Cricetulus griseus: one gene and its partners. The protein of the gene in region 3 interacts with the protein of the main gene of each other region in a pairwise test. Links are inferred from orthologs where the notes say so. Each region holds a gene or a part of one and is shown on either strand. Other genes may lie near its edges.

The links.
Region 1: the proteins of Sgta (region 3) and Lat interact in binary tests that used the Homo sapiens proteins (3 or more experiments, as listed by UniProt). The two-hybrid records come from large-scale screens. The link is inferred for Cricetulus griseus from reciprocal best matches to the Homo sapiens genes SGTA and LAT.
Region 2: the proteins of Sgta (region 3) and Slpi interact in binary tests that used the Homo sapiens proteins (3 or more experiments, as listed by UniProt). The two-hybrid records come from large-scale screens. The link is inferred for Cricetulus griseus from reciprocal best matches to the Homo sapiens genes SGTA and SLPI.

Annotation. Positions count from the first base shown.
Region 1 is NC_048596.1:74,438,345-74,442,089, reverse strand, and holds the start of Lat (linker for activation of T-cells family member 1), read right to left. Parts: upstream 2,794-3,745; 5' UTR 2,114-2,793; coding exon 2,011-2,113; intron 1,809-2,010; coding exon 1,781-1,808; coding exon of another isoform or gene 1,675-1,780; coding exon 1,640-1,674; intron 1,423-1,639; coding exon 1,335-1,422; intron 1,196-1,334; coding exon 1,131-1,195; intron 1,048-1,130; coding exon 1,018-1,047; intron 933-1,017; coding exon 869-932; intron 800-868; coding exon 705-799; intron 1-704. Other genes in the region: Spns1 (protein spinster homolog 1), read right to left, coding at 3,167-3,261, 3,598-3,745. UniProt on the Homo sapiens protein: Required for TCR (T-cell antigen receptor)- and pre-TCR-mediated signaling, both in mature T-cells and during their development.
Region 2 is NC_048599.1:15,125,392-15,129,136, reverse strand, and holds the start of Slpi (antileukoproteinase), read right to left. Parts: upstream 2,348-3,745; 5' UTR 2,002-2,347; coding exon 1,878-2,001; intron 1,285-1,877; coding exon 1,123-1,284; intron 664-1,122; coding exon 515-663; 3' UTR 514-514; intron 1-513.
Region 3 is NC_048598.1:101,842,625-101,846,369, forward strand, and holds the start of Sgta (small glutamine-rich tetratricopeptide repeat-containing protein alpha), read right to left. Parts: upstream 2,581-3,745; 5' UTR 2,425-2,580; intron 1-2,424. UniProt on the Homo sapiens protein: Co-chaperone that binds misfolded and hydrophobic patches-containing client proteins in the cytosol. Mediates their targeting to the endoplasmic reticulum but also regulates their sorting to the proteasome when targeting fails.

The DNA of each region.
Region 1 (3,745 bases), on a different chromosome or scaffold from region 3:
CCTCCAACCAAAGACCTTACAGATACATTAGACGATATCACTTCCATGAAACAAGAACAGGGTACTTAATAAAAAGGACACCAAGCTGGGCAGTGGTGGCGCACGCCTTTAATCCCAGCACTCGGGAGGCAGAGGCAGGTGGATCACTGTGAGTTCGCGACCAGCCTGGTCTACAAGAGCTAGTTCCAGGACAGCCTCCAAAGCCACAGGGAAACCCTGTCTCGAAAAACCAAAAATAAATAAATAAATAAATAAAAAAGAACACCAAGAATCGTCCCTCTCCCTCCCCAAAAAAGAGTTTTCCGACAAAAGAAAAGAATTTTTCTTTTCTTTTTGTTTGTGGTAGTGCTGTTTTGGTTTTTGAGACAGGGTCTCACTGTATTGTCCAGGCTAGCCTCAAAGCCAACCCTCCTACCTAGATCCCTCGTGCCAGGGTTAAAGGCGCATGCCTACACATCCAGCTGAGAAATACGATTTCAGTGGAAAGGTTAAAGAAGAGTCAGGGAATTTCTTAGACAACAGATAAAATGATAAGACAAAGAGGGAGGGAAGGCAAAAGGAAAAGCAAGGTGATCAGAAGTGAGGAGCAGGAAGTCCAAGATCTGAGGGAGGAAATGGAAGGGTGGCGATCGCAGAAATGAGAGGGAAGAGAGGCATAGCCGGCGGCACATGGCGGAAGGAGGTAGTCAGAGACCCTAACTCACTGGAGAAGGCGCTGTCTCGGAGACCAGGGTTGCTGGGCACGGGAGCAGAGGAGACGACAGGAATGGCGGCAGGGGTGCTGTCAGGAAGCACCTCTCTGGAAGGAAGGGATGAGGAGGTAAGAAAGGGCACCAACTTCCACTCCCACCTCCCACCCCCCACTCACAGGTAGCCCTCATTGGGGTAGTCATCCTCATCTTCATCTTCAGCCGCATTCTCACAGGCTGGCTCTATGAGGAATGAGAGAGAAGTCAACGTGACCTGGGATAGACCCAGCCTCCCCACCCCACCCAGTACCCCAGACCCTAGACCCACCCTGGTTCTCGTAGCTCGCCACACTGTTGGCTTCAAAGAGAGAGGGAGAGGAAGATGGAGTCAGCTGAGGCTGCACACCCTCTCCCCAGCCCTCCAGCCCTGTACGCCCTTACCATCATCCGAATCCTGCCGGGAAGACGGCATCTGATGGGAACCTCCAAGGGGCTGTGGGGATCTCCTGGAAGTCAAGGGTCAGGGACCAGGTCTAAGTAGGAATCTGGGGGCAAGAGGGGTTACAACAGGGAAAAAGCCACCCCCCCATCCTAAAAGGTAAGGAGGCACAATGGATCAGAGGGAGGGAGCTGAGGGGTACTCACGGAATGGGGAGCAGGTCTGGCTGCCTCAGGGGTGGGAAGGAAGTAACAAGAGGATAGGAAGTGGCAGTTGTTCGGGGGAAGCCTGTTTCTGAGGACATAGAACCAAGCTTGAGGGAATTACTCCAGACAACCCCCCTGCGGGTGACAAGGCCTCTAAGGACAGATGTACCCCTAAAAAACATGTGCTAAACAGGCATGGGGGCTCCAACTTTCCCCCAACCCAGGCAATAGTCCTGCAGGCATCTTAGCGGGACAAAGGCACACTCCCAAGAACCCTCAAAGAAGGCCAAGGACACTGAACTCACGAGATGGTTTGATGAGGATGCTCCGTGGATAAAAACTGGCAGGAAAGAGGCAGCTTAGGTACAGGGCCAAGAGGGCCCCAGCCCCAAGCCCTTCATCAGAACAAAGGGAAGACACACAGGGAAATGGGACTGCACACTCACCTCTCTGTGGAAGCACTGTCATAGGAGACTGGAAGAGAGAGAGCCAATGAGGCAGGATCAGAATGCACTGGGAGCAAAGACAGTCCCATCCCGTCCCGTCCCGTCCCGTCCCGTCCCGTCCCCCCCAGGCAGGACTGAAGTATGGACAATTAGAGGAAGCCGGGGGCTGGGGAAGGCATGGGGATCCAATGGTGTGCCTAGCATCTAGTACTCCACAGCTCCCCACTTACCTGGCAGCTCACGGCAGCGCACACACAGGGCAGCCAGGAGCGTGACCAGGACAGGCAGCAGCAGGAGGCCCAGCCCCATGGGGCTCAGAGTGTCTGCTTCCATCTGCAGAGCACCTGGCCCAGGCCCTGCTGCACTGCAGCCCCTCTAGGCAGAGTGGCAGCAGGGGTGTGGGACTGAGTGGGCCCCAGCCTGGGATCCAGTGGCAAGCAGCTGTGTCCTCCTTTGGGGTTCAATGACCCCCACTTCCTTGCTAGACTGAGTTGAGCTCAGTGCTGGAAGAGGCTAGTCCTAAAGCCTGAGCTGGGGCCTGTGCCCCAGCTACCAGCAGCACGATCCCTGTGCCCAGCTGTACCTGCCCCTTTCTTGCTCCCCGCTTGCCTGCCTCTCCTCCTCACCACCCGCGTGCGACAGGAAGCTGTGGTGAGGGCAGGAAATCATCAGGCTCCTCAGCCGGCTGCGCCTGCCCCCTGCCCACTCACCCCCACCCAGCTGTGGGAAGGGGGAGGAGGCAGAGGGACCTTGTGAAGGAAAGGTCTGAGGCTGCAGGATGAGGCAACTGCTCCACTAGGAAGGCAGACACATGCCAACCAGGCCAGCTGTGGCCTCCCCATCTCTGAGCACAAGAACTCTAATGAGGTTCTGCCAGGGACTGTGTGGAACAAGGGCAGCACTGCCTCCACCTCCCAGGCTTGCTTCTGGGAGAACAACTTCCAGGGGACCACAGTGACTCACGGTCACACCGAACCAACTCACTCAGAAAAGAGCAGTCCTCCTTCTAGATGGCCCAAGCGCAGAAGACAGGGACTTACCCACAGGGTGACCCGACTGCCCCTGGTAAGTAAGTCCTGAGACCACAGACATTCCCTGAAGCCAATGGCACCCGCAGAGAGACAAGCAGCCAGTCATAGTCTGCTTACAAATTTTATTCCATTACAAATAGCACCAAACCCCTTGGGCTGCCCTAATAGACAGGACAACCCCCACTTCTGGAACCCCATCTCTTCCCTGGGCTGCCCATGTAGTGTTTGGGAGCTGGGACATATCCCAGGGCTTCTTCCTTGGACCTGGACCTGGTGATGGCTTCTGCCTGGGCACCTCCCAGGGTGGGCCCAGGGCCAGCTGTGGTGAACCTGTGGCTGGGTGAGCAACAGCTCCTCAGATGAGCACGCTGGACACAGGGACCCGGGTAGAACGGCCTCGCTGAGGCACCACAATCCGGTCATCTGAGGGTCCTGTCTCATGCAACAGACCTGTGGGGAAGGGGTCGGAGCCAAGGCCAGTCACATAAAAGCCATCAAGGGGACAGGAGACAAACAGGCAGAGGGGCATAGACGAGACAGCAGCAAGAGTCCTCAGAACTGTGTATAGACAGAAAGCCTGATGATACACTTTAAGACAGACTGAAAGCTGAGTGGGATGGTACTGGGAAGCTGGTACTATCAACCCTGGCAGGTGGCTGGCAGCATGGGCCTGGGTGGATGGGACAGCTGTGGACTAAGAGATGTGGGGCGCATACCTGTGAGCCAACAGATGGACAGACTGACAGGTGATACTGTGAATATGGGGTGACAGTGGCCCTCACTGACCCTGCATGTGGAGTTGAGCCCGTCGGCGGTCATCCTCAATGAACATGGCAGTGCCCAGGAAGGCCGCACCACCCAGTGCACCAACAAAAGCGCAGAGCATGAGCGAGAACTGCAGGGCCCGGAACTCAGACAAGAAGGAAGCAGGCCA
Region 2 (3,745 bases), on a different chromosome or scaffold from region 3:
AAATCATTTCCCTCTGGTCCTCCATAAGGAAGTCAGCTGAGAGAGGTCAAACAACAAAGCAGGACTGGAGGTGAGAGGATTGTGGATTTCAGGAGAAAAGTTCAAGTCTCACGTTCATTGTAAAATTCAAAACTCAGAGCATTGAACTAGACATCCCTCTAATTATATCTACGCTTTGTGCTTTAACCCTAGACACGACAAAGCAAATAACTTGGACAATGAATAATGCATACAGTGCCTTACAAAACATTTTCAAATTCAGCATTTCCATTCTGTAGATAGAGACTCAGAAAGTCATTCACCCATGGCCCTTATCCAGACACACTGTGTAGATTCAAAACCACAGACAATCCTATGTGTTTGCCCTAAGAAATAGGGGACAGCGCCCTTAAAGGACAAGCCAGACAGAGGCTGTTGGTTACAGTCTCCCTGCCATAAGCCCTGACCTCCAGAGCCTTGAAGCTGAAAAGGTCTGAAAAGCAATGAGTCTGTCCACCCCAGCTGACTCCTTACCTTACTGTGGGAGAAGGCAGAGTTTCCCACACATGCCCAGGCAACACTTATAGTTGCCAGCACACTCGCCATCCCTCTTACACCTATTGGGAGGATTCAGCATCAAACATTGTCCTTGAATCTTTGGGCACTTGCCAGGCTTCGACCTCACTGGTGACAGAAGAAGCACAGGTCAGATGTCTTAGACTTCAGCCACCACATCACTGCTTCTTTAACCCACCTTCTTCAGCCTGAGCAAGGAAAATCACCCCCATTTACCCCTCACCTCAATCACCTACTCCCAGATATGTCCCCTGAAACAACACCTGGTTCCCCTCTAACATCTGCCTCCAGACAATGCAGGTGGCCGGCTGTCTGGTACTGAAAGGGTTGACGGCTTCCATCAAGCTGAATGCCCAGATGATTCTTTGCAAAACCATTACAGAATGGCTGCCTCAGACAAGAGGCTTTTCCTGCTGATGGCAGCATGATGCCTTGACTGATGCCATGTTGGATTCAACCACTCTTAGAAGCAAGCATGCCTAGGAGGACCCCTTCCCGAAATCCCATCCCCTTCAGTGCTAGGTCTTGAGGTTCATTCCTCTGCTCCTGGGTCCTCTGCTGGCTCACCTGCAGTGCGGATGGGAAGAGGATCAATGCATTTGAAACCACACCTAAATTGGCAGCACCTCTTATTTCCCGGGCATTGCCAGTCAGAATCACACTCTGGTTTCTCCTTCCTCAGGCAGTTGACAGGCCTTCTAGAAGGGCAGGCACCACTTTTGATAGCATCTAAAGAGGATGTCATGATGTTAGGAGAGCATGGAACAACTATCACAATTCATAGACAAAGGACCACTTTCCAAACTGTAAATCCTCATCCCAGTAGCCCACAACTACAAAGGGGATTAACTGCAGAAGAAAGCAAAAGGAACAAACAAATATGACAGGCTTGGTCAAACCAGACATGTAAACAGGAAAAACATCACAGACTGAGGACAAAAGGCACAGGGTTCCCAATCAAGTTTTTCCACCTCATGGCTAAGCTAGATTACCAAGGACAGAAGGGGAGAGTGGGAGTAATGGAGACAAGAGAAATAAACAGGAAGGGAACAAACCTGTGAGATGTTGAGAACTAAAGCCAGAGGCAGAAACAGAAAGGACAGGAACAGAGAGAGAGTGAGGCCTGGGTTGACAGGGTGGTTTAATAATCAAGGGAGCATTCTTCCATGCCTTGAAGCCTCATAGGAACCTCTGACCCCAGCAAGACATGGATGCCACCAGGAAGTCCTGAGTAAGCTGAGGACAGCCTAGAGAAAGGAAGACACCAAAACCACCAGGAACCCTCACCTCTGACATTCTAGGCCAAAATAACCCCAACTCACCATTTTTGCCTCCTTCCACAGTCCAGGATGCCAGGATCCCCAGAGCAAGGAGCACCATGAAAGGGAAGAAGGTACTGGACTTCATGGTGAAGGCAGAGTGGCTCTGATGAGCAGTCCCAAGCATCACTATTTGTATCTTTACCAGAGGGTGTGGCTGCAGTGGGGTGTATTTGGCCCCTCCCACATGCTATTGCATAGTCAGGAAGCTTTAGCCAGAGAACAGAAGTCTTGATACTACAGAAGTAGATGGTAGACTTTCTGCTTCAGACAGGACCATGAGGCCAGCAGAGTAACTACCAGAGAGTTGAAAATGAAAGAAGTAGTTTGGAAGTTGTCCTCAGAGGGACATTCAGAGGGACATGTCCACCTGTGCCCTGAGCATTGTGAAATCTGAAACCCTATAGCCCTTACTGGTAGAGAAGAGTAGTAAGGGTCAGTCACAAAAGGGCCACCAGGACCTGATGCTGAAACATAGGAAGTGAACTCTCAGCTGAGACTGCAATGTGCCTCTATTTCTCAAGTTCCTGGACTTTCTGGGATTTTGAAATTCTAAGCTATTGCTCAATGCAAATTTCTTCTCAAAATACAGATGACGCATGGTTCAACCAATTGACATTTATCTCTGCCAAATGATTTGCACCGCTGTTTTCCCAGTGCCTATTTCATGACTGAAACACAGAATACAATCTCTAAATAAATGAAGGTTGTACGCAGAAGGGCATTGGCCCTCAGCAAATCTCTTTGGAGATCAGTTTCCTAGGCATGAAATGACTTAGGACTGGTCCTGAGATTAAGAGTTTGAAATCACACTTAATTAATGAACTGCATCCCTGGCTACAAGTGACCATTGAGATGGATTGGAGCAAAGGGATAAATTCTCTCACTCGTCACTGTAATCAGCACTGAGCTATGGTATCATTTCTGTTGTTAAAGGAATTCTTTCTATCTCTAAATCCACTATGGGCATCAAATGTCAGAAAAAATTATGGCTGCTGTGTGTTCAGCCCATTGTGTGTAAAATCCAGTGTGTCCAAATTGAGTCTAATTCTTAAGAGAGCCACCCTTCTCTGTACAATTCAACCCAATCTTCCCTACCTGCAAAGTTCGAGTCTTGCCTCAACATCATATGATCTTGTTTTTAAATTTCATACATGTTGGTTTGTAAATACGTGTGTGTGTGTGTGTGTGTGTGTGTGTGTGTATAGTTACCCTCCTCCCTCTACTTCCTCCAATGTTTTCCCTACCCTGAACTCCCTCTCAAACTTGGCTTCTTTTTCTTTATTGGGAGTAGGGGATCAAAACAGCTAGCTCTAGCTGTCCTGGAACTCACCCTGTAAACCAGGATGACCTTGAACTCCAAGAGATCTGCCTGCCTCTGCCTCTTGAGTGCTTGAATAAAGGTGTGTACCACCAACAGATGGTATTGGCCTCTTGTTCTTTAATTATTACTGTTCTGTGTGTATATGAATAGATATATTATTACAACCTGCCAACTACATTTAGTGTTGTTCATGTGCACACATTTTATGGGTGACCACTTAATATTGCATAGCCAGCTAGGTGGCTCACCCATGAGGAAAACTTCATCTCTCATTAATTTCCTGCATCTCATCATCTGGGTGGGGACCCTATAAGATTTCCTCCCTTCCACAGTGGCATGTCAACTGGTGTTTTCATGGTTCAGGTCTTATATAGGCAGCCATACCCTTGAGGTTTCATGGTCCCTGGAGTTTTCCTATTCATTCCTCCAAGGAAGTTTGTAGAAAATCAGAGAGACATGAAAAGGCTGTGCATTAGGTGTTGGGCTCCACAAAATATTCTCTAATCTAGGAGCCAACTGTTAGCAGATCCTTTTATGCAGAAATTAT
Region 3 (3,745 bases):
GTCTTCCCCCTCCCAACAAGTTTACAAGCAAGGTCAGTGTGGTAACTTCTCAGCTTGAACACAAGGCTCAAATCCATTGAAGAGTCTGGTGAGGTCCCTGGACTGGGTCCCAGTGGGCAGTGTTCACCCAGCATACAGATAGCCCTGGAATGAGGGGGACCCAGTTTCAAATCAAAACAACAGGAAGGGCTTGCAATACAACTCACCTGACAGAGCCAATGCCCAGACAGGAAGCAGCAGCTGGGACCTCAGACAGTGGCTCCAGGGGCAGAGTCCACAGATAATCCCTTACCCCACAAAAGTAGGTGCACACACAATCTTGGGACCCACATAATCTGTGCAGATGCCTCAATACTGATGAGCCACTGGGCTAGGGTTTCATCTTTAACACTAGAGCTCACTATGTACCCCAGGGGAAACTCAAATCTAAGGCAATCCTCCCGTGTCTGCCCCTTGAGTGCTGGAATTACAGGTATGCTTCTTTACTGGCATGCTCATGCATGCATCGGTTTCAGTGTTCACACTCCAGTCAACCTAGGTGTCCTTCCTCCAGATACCACCTCATTTTTTAGAAACAGTGTCTAACCGGGTGATGGTGAGGCTTGCCTTTATTCCCAGCAGCAGCCCTGTCTTGAATGGAAACAAGCCACGCCTTTAATCCCAGCAGAGGCAGGAGGGACGGACCTCTCTGAGTTTGAGGCCATTCTGGTCTACAAAGATACACAGAGAAACTCTGTCTCCGGGGGGAAAAAGAAAAAAATAAAAAACAGAAAACAGCGTCTGACCCTGGGACATGGGGTTGAACAAGGTAAGGCTGGCTATCCAGAGGGCCCAGTGACCTGTCGGTCTCTGACCTCCCACACTGAGATTACCACTTATGGCTTTTTACATGGGTGGGTGTATGGAACCAAATTCGGCTGCTTCTCCTCCCCACCAGGAGCACCCTTCATTCTGGACCACGCTCCTGACCTCCACTCAGTGTCAGAAGTCTGAAGCCCTTTCAGTCACAGCAATCACAAGTGTCCCCAGACACTGCCCAGGGTTCCTGGGGACAAGAATAGCCAGAAAAAGGAAAGATCACTCAAACAAATAACCAGAGACAGGAACAGACCAAAGCATAATAGCCAGTGGGGACCCTGTGTCCTCTCCAGCACCCCACCAAGGCTGACAGGCCTATAGGATGCTAGCTAAGGAAACTTCGGGACATTTACCCTCCGGGTGACAGAGACATTCACAACAATTTCAGTTGGCTTGTTTTGGTTTCATTGGAGGTGGTGTTTTTTCATTTTCTTGTTTGGGTTTTTTTTGAGACACGGTTTCTGTCTGTAGACCAGGGTGGCCTTGAACTCAGAGATCCACCTGCCGGTGCCACCCAAGTGTTGGCAATAAAGGCATGGAACTGCAGGCCTGGTTTTTGAGAGACAAAGATCTACTATGTAGCTCAAGACGGCCTCGAACTTCATTCCCATCTTCCAGTCTCAGCCTCCCACGGACGGGATGACAGGCAGCTTACAACTGAACTACCGGCTATTTTAAAATCCTTTTCAAAATTAATTATGATGTCAGGTGTAGTGGGGTACACTTTAATGCTGGGAAGAGGGGGGAGTCTGAGGCCAGCCTTGTCTACACAGAGAGTTCAAGGACAGCCAGGGACACACAAAAACTGTCTCAACAAACTAAAATCAACTGTTCTCACAATGTGGTCCATGTAACTTGAACTTCTTAGGTAGCCCAGGCTGGACCTTGAAACTCTCCAGATAGCCCAGGCTGGGCCTTGAAACTCTCCAGATAGCCCAGGCTAGGCCTGAAGTCCCGGTGATTCAAGTGCCACACCCTCCCAAATGCAATACTGAGTTACAGGTTAAGGACCAAGGACCTGAGCCATTCTCTAGGGCCCTTGTTTTTGGTCACAGCTCTTTTGAATCCTGTGTACAGTCCTGGCTGGCATGGAACTCCTCCCTCAGCCTCCAGTGCGCCAGCACACCTGCCTCACAGCCGTCCAGAGAGGGCAAGCCACCTGCCCCAGTATGCACCGCAGGCAGACGGAGGCCCTCGCCCTCCACCCCACGCTCCCACCCCCCCGGTGCCCGACAAGCACCACACCGCTCGGAACGGCAGCGGTGACCACGTCCACTCGACACAGGAGGGAAACCGACAGAGCAAGGTCACGACGCTGGCGAGCGGCGAAGCCCGGGGCACCCCGAGGATGCGGAGGGCCCACACCCAAACGCCGGCCTTCTCTCCACAAGGAGCGCCGGGGGCGCCGCCGGACTCAGTTTCCCCGCTGCGCCGCCCGCTCACGTGACCGGTGGGGCGCCGGAGGGCGGGCCCCGAGCCACCTTTACCTTAGCGGCTCCCGAGCGCCGCGCACCCCGAGCCACCGACGCCCACGCCCCTCGGGGCACGGCGAGCCCCCCAACTCACCTCTCAGTCGACCGAAGCCCCGACCCACCGACGGCTGCGCCTGCGCACCGCGGCGCGCACAGGACCCGCCCTCGGGGCCACGACGCCTGCGCAGAAGGAACCCATGGCCTCCGCGTGCCCGTGCTGCGCGTGCGCCTGAGCGCCGGCCAAGCGACGGAGCGGAAGTGGCGTCACACGGGGCGGGCACACCCGGGTCGTTGGAGAAGCTGACCTCGGCGGCGTCCGGAAGACCGGAAGTCTGTCTGAGACGCCGCGAGCTGGGCCCGCGTGGGGCCTGGCGGGGCGGTGGCGGACCCCGGTGACGCCGAGGCGGGTCACGTGGCACGGAGCTGGTCACGTGCTGCAGCTCCCTGCGTCACAGCCCGGAATCGGAGCTACTGTCTGTTGCTAGGCTGTTTTCCTGAGAGACCCGCCTGCCTCTATCTCCCGGGTGCTGCGGGTGCAGGCGAGCGCCGCCACCCCCAGCCCAAGCTAGACTCAAACCATCGCCGCCTCCATGGGCGTTAGTGACCCTGTCTTTAATCCCGGCGCTCGGGAGGCAGAGGCAGTGCCCGGACAACCTAGTCTTAGAGAGAGAAATCCCATCTTGGAAAATGGAAGTTTATGGCAATCCCCCTGCATCAGCCTCCGAGTACTGAGATGTCAGGCTTCTGCCTTTCCGCTTACCATGGATGTACCGTTATGGTTACTAGAGTAAGTGTCCTGGCTTGTCTAGGGATTTGGAGTGGGTGGTAAGGCAGAATAGAAAAGCCAGGCACCTTTGAGGGACTTGGGAAGAGACAGGACCCTGTCACCTCTACATCCAGCTGAAGCCATCTCTAGCAGAGAATTACCGATTGTTTAAGGCTTTTCTTACTTCCAGGCTGGAAACATACTATTTTTTAGCAATCTCACCAGAAATTCCATTTACAGGGAAAGGATACAAACTTAACTACACCCTTTTGCAACCCTGTGACTTCTGCTTTCCTTTCATCAGATTGGTTTTAACGGCCAACTTGACACAACCTAGAACCACTTAGCAAGATTCTTCATGATCAGGTTGGCTTGTGGGGGAACTGTCTTGATTAAATCTAACTGATCTGAGAAGCCCAAGCCCACTGTGTGTTGTGGAATATTATTTAACTAGGCAAAAATTGTTATATTTGTTAACTATGTAAAGATGTGTTGCTATTTCAACTTGTGTGCCCAAGGCTCCTAATTGGTCTAATAAAAAGCTGAAAGGCCAATAGCTAAGCAGCAGAGGGATAAGCCTAGGCTGGTGGGCAGAGAAAATGAGGAGGTGGAAGAGAGAATGAGAGGGAAAAGAGAGGGAGACACTTGG